2 linked regions of the Rattus norvegicus genome follow. The protein of the gene in region 2 purifies or fractionates together with the protein of the main gene of each other region. This does not show direct contact. Links are inferred from orthologs where the notes say so. Each region holds a gene or a part of one and is shown on either strand. Other genes may lie near its edges.

What was found. Proteins that work in one complex are often made in the same cells at the same time.
Region 1: the proteins of Cask (region 2) and Arhgef26 purify together in Homo sapiens (affinity purification with mass spectrometry; 3 studies listed by BioGRID and IntAct, with this or other methods). This does not show direct contact. The link is inferred for Rattus norvegicus from reciprocal best matches to the Homo sapiens genes CASK and ARHGEF26.

Annotation. Positions count from the first base shown.
Region 1 is NC_086020.1:148,888,046-148,892,222, reverse strand, and holds the start of Arhgef26 (Rho guanine nucleotide exchange factor 26), read right to left. Parts: upstream 2,801-4,177; 5' UTR 2,265-2,800; coding exon 1,188-2,264; intron 389-1,187; coding exon 349-388; intron 1-348. UniProt on the Homo sapiens protein: Activates RhoG GTPase by promoting the exchange of GDP by GTP. Required for the formation of membrane ruffles during macropinocytosis. Required for the formation of cup-like structures during trans-endothelial migration of leukocytes.
Region 2 is NC_086039.1:11,570,911-11,575,128, reverse strand, and holds the start of Cask (peripheral plasma membrane protein CASK), read right to left. Parts: upstream 2,801-4,218; 5' UTR 2,137-2,800; coding exon 2,078-2,136; intron 1-2,077. UniProt on the Homo sapiens protein: Multidomain scaffolding Mg(2+)-independent protein kinase that catalyzes the phosphotransfer from ATP to proteins such as NRXN1, and plays a role in synaptic transmembrane protein anchoring and ion channel trafficking.

The DNA.
Region 1 (4,177 bases), on a different chromosome or scaffold from region 2:
AAGCTTCAGGCTCAAAGAGCCTGAGTGAGGAGCTAGGGCTCCACCCCCACGTAGTGAGGCAGGTGGGGATGGAGCCAAGCTAAAAAAAAAAAAAAAAAAAAAAAAAGGAAAAAAGAAAGCTTTCAAGATGTCAACTGAAAAAGTTACCAGCTTATAAACAACACCCCCCCCCCATGGATAAACAAAGTTGGCATGGTGAACACAGCTTCGTACTGGATAATCCAAGACTAAGTTAGGCATTCTTGTTTTTGTCATCTCAAGTGTCTTTGTTACTGCAGTCAGGTTTCAAATTTTAATTGATGTACCATATTGAAGCTGCAATAAAAGTCTGGAAAATTCAATGCTTACCTTCTCCATCAAATGTTCCTTGTCCTTTCAGCATTTTTTTCTAAGAGACAAAAAAAAAAAAAGGAGAGAAAAGCAAACTGTGTATGAATAAGCCAAGTACAGCTATTTTAAGTTAAAAGTTCCTTTTTGTTATTTCCTTCAGATTTCCAAAAGCACATGGCAGAGAATCCCCATGGCAATAAACCGCAACAATAAAATAAAGTGTAGAGCGTCCCCACATCCCGTTAAACTAGAGAAAGAATCCTCGAACGACCAGCGGTCCTGCTCACGTCTCTGTGATTCACTCTCACTGTTAAACTGAACTTTGCTCCCCCTGACAGCTGGGGGAGGGGCACATAAAATGTTATGTAATGTCTTCCCTTTAAGACTGTATGTCTAAACTAAAACAGGCTTGCTTGTGTATTACATGTGTGACATTTCTATAGACTGGTGCCGGTTGTCTGATTAATCAAAAAAAAAAAATGTGACTGCCCTCTTGCTTAGATCTCTCGTGTTTCTAAGAAGGTGGCACATACTCCAAACATCCCTCTCTGGCTGGCCCTTTTCCTTTAGGTCACATTGTAAAAAAAATATTTAGTAAGGCCAACTGCTAGGCCCATATTAGGTTACAATATCTCTCACTTTCATACAGATTCTAAGCTATTAGTTTGTAAATAATAATAATGATAATGATAATTATAATGATAGTTAATAATAAAGCACAAATATGGGGCATGGTTACTGAAAAAAACAAGGCAATGCACTGTTCCATGATTTCATGTGCTATGGGCATTCAAAAAATTTCCCCAACACGTTCACATTGGATTTAATGAATGGCACGTGAGCCAGCCCAGTCTTACCTTTATCCTTCCCAAGCTAGAGAACTTCTCCTTGTCTTCCATTACCGCCTTCAGGACAGGCTGGGACATTCTGTTCTTCTTCTTTGAGCTGGTGGGACTGTCAAAATCAAAACCGCTGACCACTGCCCTTCGGTAAGATGTGGACCGCAAGCCTCGCCGAAGGGAGCCCGGGCTGTCTATGTCGTTGTCGGCTTCGCTTTCCTCCCCTTCGGGGCCCAGGGGTGCTCCCAGTCCCTCCACCATGCTGCGCACCTTGAGAAGCCTCCTGTGGGGCTCTACATTCTGACTGTTGGATTTACTCAGTTTAATTTCGGAGGCAAGGCTTTTGGGGATAATCTGCTGCTTTCCCATCTTGAGGGCCGCCGGGCTGTTGGTACTCAAAATCACGGAAGGGTTCGGTAGCTCATTCCCTTGGGAGGGCAGCCTTTGGAGGGGCAGTTTTTGTTCTGAAGACCTGTGCTGGGGGGCAGGAGAGAGTCTCGAGGGGGACGGCTCCAAGTCCCCAGCAGACTGACCAGTTTGTGATACTGGGCCAGATGAGTCGGTTTTCGGGGCAAGGCCATTCGCAGTGGGTGAAGATACCTTACTGGCAGTCACCCTGGTGCGGTCCTCACCCGGGGCGCTAGAGGCTGGGATGTCCGGAGTCCGCGAGGCGCGCGACAACAGCGCCGCGGGCGAGGACACCGTGCCATTAACAGCGGACTTCGGGGAGCCTCCAGACGCCGCGTAGGAAACCAGGGGTGACTTGGGTCGTCGAAGTCGAGGAGAAGCAGCTCTGTAGTCCGGGGACACCGTGCGACCATTGGTCACCGGCCTCCGATGTGCGCACAGAAGCTGGGGGCTCCTGGACACTGTCCTGCCCTCTGGGCCGGCGGGTACAGGGACCGGAGTCTGTGGCGCGGGCAGAGCAGCTAGCTCCTCCACCGGGAAGTCAGTGATCAGCAGCCCGCTGGGGCTCTGGTACGACTGTGGCCGCGGCTTGCTCCGGCCGAGCAACTGGAGCGGAGGGGTAGACCGTCTCCGCCACAAAGGGGTGACGCCGTTGCTGGAAAAATCCACCTCGCTTTCGCCGTCCATAGCGGGGCCTTTGGGCCGGCCCCAAGAGGAGGAAAGCTTCTCAGGTTGTCTAAGAGGAAGGAACTTTGCCTCCGGACAACTAGTATTGTCTGGGAGCCTAGCCGGGGTCCAGTCCGGCGGTCACACGGGTGTCGCGCCGGACTCGGCAGCGCCTCACTTACCCGCCCTTTCTCGGGCACAGCGCCTCCCGCCACGCTGCGCGACCGAGGATTGAGATCCGAGCCGCAACCGATTAGATGAATCTGGTCTCTTCTGAGTCCTTCCCGCGCCCCAAGCCGGTTGGCACCTAGAGAGCTCGCCGCCACTGCAGGACACTTGGAAAGAGTTCAGCTGGCTGGGACAGCTTGCCGCGGGACACTCCCCCGCGTCTCCATCTAGCCGCCCGCCCCGCGCTAGTACAGCCTGCCCCCGGTGCGCGGTCTCCAGCGCGCTCACCCTTCCTGGCGTCCAGAGCACGGACCAAAGAGTGCTCCCAGTCCCCGTGGGTGGCCTGAGTCCTCACCAAAACTCGGAGGCAAGCGCACAACCCAACTTCGCAGAGGCCCGCGGCGCCAGCCCCGCCCCCGCGCTACGCCCCGCCCCTCTTGGCCCCGCCTCAGCACGCCGGGGAAGCTCGCACTGAGGCGCCCTGCAGTTCCCGCCTACGCCTGCCCTGAGAGCGCTCCAAGTGTTTGCAAACTGGACGCGCACACCTGAGCTGGGTGTCCAGACCGGAGTACTGGAATGTAGGAGCGCGGGCGACCGCCCTAGGGGCCAGCTACAGGGCGCGGTCGCAGCTCAGAACACAGCATGGGAATGATCTTGAGAGCAGGGAAAGGGGTTCTTAATGATCCCCGAACTATGGAGATTGGAAGGGTGAACCAAGTCGGAACCTGGTGCTGCTGTGCCATTTCACTGGGCCACTTGCGGGTCTTCAAACTGCACCTCACTCCGGCGTCTCACTTCGGGGTCTCATTCCTGCCTGTGCTTGCAATGTGGACTCAAGAGGAAAACTGGCTAAAAGGCCAGGCGAAACGTAACTCTGCATTTCATAATCTTTGGGCCTTGTATGTTTGCAAGTCACACAGTAAAAGTAAACAAAATACAAAATATTTATTTAGTGTGTATAATATAAATTGAAAATGTGTGTAGAATAAAATACCTTACAAGGAATACATAATAAAGCCTTATTCGAGATTAGTAGTCTGGATAGAGGTGGGCCTACCCCTACAGCCTAGTCTTTTCTCACTACCTTTATTTAGCCAAGCCAAGTGCACAGCCTTAGAGTCTTCACACTTATTTCTTGGCCTTCTGGCTTGTTACTCCATTGGAATGGGAGTTGGAATACTCCCTACTGTTTATTTCCCCAACCACCTGATCTCTTTCTTTTCTACACTACTCAAAATCCGTACACCTGTATGCTTATATGTTTATGTATTAATACTTAATCTATTCTGCCTTCCCATTGTAATTTTGAAGAGGGCAGGGGCCATGTTGATAGTTCACGCACACAGTAGATGATAAATATCTGTGGAGTGAGAAAATGAATGAGAGAAACGAACCTGGGCCAATGATCATTCGTCTTTTGGATGTTGGTTGCCAAGTTGGCTCTGTCTTAGTGAAATTCCAGGTATGTAAGAATAATGAGGCGACCTGAGAAGACATGATTTTAGTCGGTTAGATCTGTAGAATTGGTTCTGTTAGCAAGACATATGGCAGTCTCCATGCTTTCAAAGTTCACGTGAGCAGCCACTGTTTAAAGCCTGTGCTTCTTTCTGCTTTGGTGGTGAAAGGAAGGGTGATGTTTATCGTGTTTCTTCATATTTTTGTGTACTTACCAAAGCTGCACGATAAAGATCTTTGAACTGAGAAACGTCCTTGAACTCGAAGAAATGGAATCAAAATGTTTATCAAAATAAATTTTAAGAAAATTT
Region 2 (4,218 bases):
GATTCAATGACTGCTATTTCCATCACCATAATTTAATATGCAAACATCTTAATCCCAGTTTCCAATGACTGACTTCAGGCTCACAACAGCTATAACTAAGATACAACAAGTATCACTCACTCTCACAGTCATTTTGGTGGTTTTTGAGAAACATCTAATTTGCCTTCTTTGTGTCCCCATAACAATGAAGAAATGAAGGAGATTTTTGAAAATTTTCTCTCCAAAAATGTAGCAGTCCACTGTGGCTATTAACCACTTGAAATGTGGCTAATCAAACTGAGGCAATATATTTTGCATTCTGCTTAATTGATTAAAATTTAGAAATAGTAAATTCAGTTACTGGAAAACTTTTATGTATGTTTGGAACAACTTGAATATGTGAACCTACTTTTTTGCATATGCAAATTTTATGAGACCTAAATACAGATCAAGTACTTCTGGTAAAAATTTAGCTTGGCGTCAAAATTGAGATGTTCGGTTAGTATAAAACACACACTGCATTTCAATGGCTTAGTAGGAAAAGATGTACAGTATGGCAAAAATGTTCAAGCTGAGATCACTATATATATATATATATATATATATATATATGCATATATATCACATAAATATTTTACTAAAATTCCACCTTTTTGTTCGACATCTTTCTAAAGTGGCTACTAGAAAATGATAAATTACACGTGGCTCTCATTAAATAGCTTTGAACAGCGCTGCTCTGGGCACATCCACAAAGACTGGAGGAGACACATTTGGACATCCTCCTCCTAACAGATAGGCTGGTCACTGAACAATGGGGCAAGGAGCATTTGAGTCTAAGAAAAGAGTGTAGCAAGCTCTACCCACAATTTCTCCATGTGTAATGCCTCAATATGGAGGAAAAAAATGAGTTACCCGTACTCAAAAAATTGAAACTGAGTATACTGCAGACAACTTAAAGAGGTAAATGCAACCGCTCTGTCTTGCTTTCATTTCCCAAGTGTGGACCTTAAAATAGACAATAAAGCACCGCTTCCAAAATGAAGTAAAATATTCTAATACTAGCTATCTAATGAGCCCCAGTAAATAAGCAAAAATCGCTCTTAAATCTTATCTCAACTTCCAAAGCCAGAGAATACACGCTGAGCTAGGAAATCAACTTCAGATTGCCAGCATTTCCCTCACAAGCAAATTAGCAGGATTGTGCACTTGGAATATTGTTTGACAAGAATGAAAAGGAAACAATTCAAAACAGATTTCAGGACTGGACAATTAGATGAGGAACTGCAGATTTAATTCTCAATCAGCACTGTGATTAATCTGATTCCCTGCTTTTCCCTAGAGTAATTATACAACACAGACGAAAGGATGAGCATTTGGACTGTCAGTTCTATATTCTAGACCAGCCCGGTGACTCAAAGCAGACGGCTGTACCACGCTAACCACCATCCCAACAACAGTGGAAGGGAGCCTCGAGCACTGATTGTACAGTCATTGCATAACGAGACATTAAAATTTTGGGTGCCCCTAACTCTTTCTATGTTCGTCTATGGCAGATGAAGAATTTGCTGAAACTGGACGCATCCGTCTTCAATGACCCTCTTAAATACGGGCATGGGGTGAACACAAAGGCATCTGTCTAATATCCTGGCACAATAGACACACACCCCACAATTAAAAACCCCGGACGCGCTCTCTCGCCCTCTCCACACAAGCACACGAAATGCAGACTGCTCTTTTTGGAAAAGGTCTATGGTACAGGAAAGGTAACAATAACCCCAACTGTTCCCAGGAAGCAACTATAAAATCGGTCCTGCCACGTCCCTGTCTAACCGTCAGATAAAATGCAGGCAGCCCGCCCCACGCCTTATGGGGTGGCCGACCGGGACTCGGTGGCCTCCACGGATCGCTGAGAAGCCCCCAGACTCCCTCCTGGCAGGAGATCCAGGTACACGTCTATAAATACTCCAGGGTGAAGAGGACAAGGGAGACAGAGGGGAGGGAGAGAGGGCAGGGGGCAGGCCCGGAGCGGGTGCGGGAGGCCCCGGGCATCGCTGAAAAGCATTTTTCCACACTCCCGCTCCCTCGCGTGGAGACTCACTTGCCGATCACCTCGCACAGCTCGTACACATCCTCGAACAGCACGTCGTCGTCGGCCATGGTCCGGAGGGGACAGCGGCCGCAGCGTGGAGGGTTCTGAAAACTGGGTTGGGGGCGCCCAAGAGCTCAGTGCCCGGCTCCGGGCTCGTGTCCTCCCCTCAGGACCCGCAAGCCCTCGGTGCTGAGGAAGCTCGACCGGGGCCGCGAGGCCCGGAGACTGCAGCGCCTTTCCTCTGCCGGCTGCCGCCCCGGCGCGGGCGGCGGGGCCGGGGCGTGGGAGCGAGGGCGGCCCGGGCCCGGCGCCGCCCGCCCGCCCGCTGCTCCTCGCGCGGTTGCTGGCGGCCGCGCTGCCGGGGCGTGCGGACCCTCGGGGACCGCGAAGCACCGCACTCTCCGCTCGTCAGCCCGCGCGGGCCGCGAGGCCGCGACCGCTCCCTCTGCCCGAAACCGGCTCCGGCGCGGCGCGGGGCAGCTCGGGCTACAGGGGGGGCCGCGACAGCACCATGGAGGGAGGATCGTCGCGAAGGGAGGTGGTGGCGGCTGATCCGCGCTGGGGACCAGGAGGCGGCGGCAGAGACGCTCCCTCCTCCTTCTCTCCTCCTCCCTCCGCCGCCGCCCGCCCGAGTGTGGGAGGGGGCTTCGCGGGATGAGAGTTCAGTGCGGGCGGGAGCCGCGACCGCTGCCTTCAGCTCCTCCCCTCAGCCTCAGCAGCCGCCTGGCTCCTGAGCGCTGTACACCCGCCTCCCGCGGACAAACCCTCCTCCCTTTCGGCCCGCAAGGCAGCGAGACCTGCAGGCCCCGCCCCTCCAGCCCGTTGGGAGGCGGGGACCGCGGAAGGAGGCGGAGGAAGGGAGGGAAAAAAGAGGCGCTCCCAGTGGCGCCTGCGCGCAGCGCCCTCAACGTCACGGAGAACCGGCGGGCGCGGGGAATCTAGAGGGCGCTGGGGGTCGGCAAGCGGAGCTTCCCGGGTTGCGGGTTGCAGCTGCTGAGGTGGGGCTGGTGCAGGTCGTCGCCCCTACTCCCAAGCCGCAACCAAGGGGAGAAGCGACAAAAGGTCCACAGCACTGTGCACGTTCTTGGACGGCGTGCTCAGCACTCTGGCAGCTTTCCCTCTTCTTTCGTAACCCCAGGAAGCCGTTCCCAGGTTTTTGCTGGGGAGAAAAAAAAAAACCCCAACAACTCAGGGAAAGGGTTCTAATGAATGGAAAAGCCAGAGAGGAGGTGGAGAGAGGTTGTCACTCAAGACCGTGTTTGGCGGCGGAGGATGCTTTTAGTGCCACCCTGCCATTCCTTAATGAAGATGAGGGCTGGGGGAGGGGGAAAATTGTCCAAGGAAAGAACCGAACAAAAACTGCAGAGGAAGGTGTACCACAAAAACTAGCGAAACAGCTTCTCCTACTGCCCGCTCCAAACTCACCAAATATCTATGCAGTGTCTATTGCTGCTAGACAAAACCTAGAGACGGACCAGAAAAATAGTGACATAAAGCGACTTTAAATCCATTGAACATTGTTCCCCAGCCCCAGCATCGACTTTGTTTACTCCCTATAAGTGTTGGAGTTCTTCGCATAAAAATGCAACTAGAGGAAAGGGACACACAGGGTCAGCCGCGGAGTAAGGCTGTGGGTGTTGCCGCTGTGCTAGGTTGTATGCAATATGAAGATTCTGTTCAACTGAGCATGTGCAGAATGAGCCAACGCCACCAGACAGGTATATGCCTCAGTTGAAGACCAATAAAAAAGGAAGTCTTTGTTCCTCCGCACAGCAGAAGTGTCCAATTAGTTCATAAGTCAGCTCTCCAGAAATCATCTGTTAAAATTCTCAGCGCGGTATTTTTTAAACTAGTATTTACCAAAGTGCAGGGGGCAGGGTGAAGATTCAGCCTATTTCCCTTTCAAATACAAAACAAAAAACAAAAAACAAACAAACAAACAAAAACGATCTGCACAAACCCTTGGTCCGTCCCTCGAGAGGTTGGGTGATTTGCTTGTTAAATATTTGGGAGCTTAACCTTTTCTTTCTTGCAAATCAGAGGAAATATAATTGCATAAATATGTTTTCCTCCTTTCCCAAAGATTTTGTATTTTCTCTAAAGAAAGGGCTTCAGAGCCCAAAACACTTTGTCTTCTTTCGGGGGTCCAA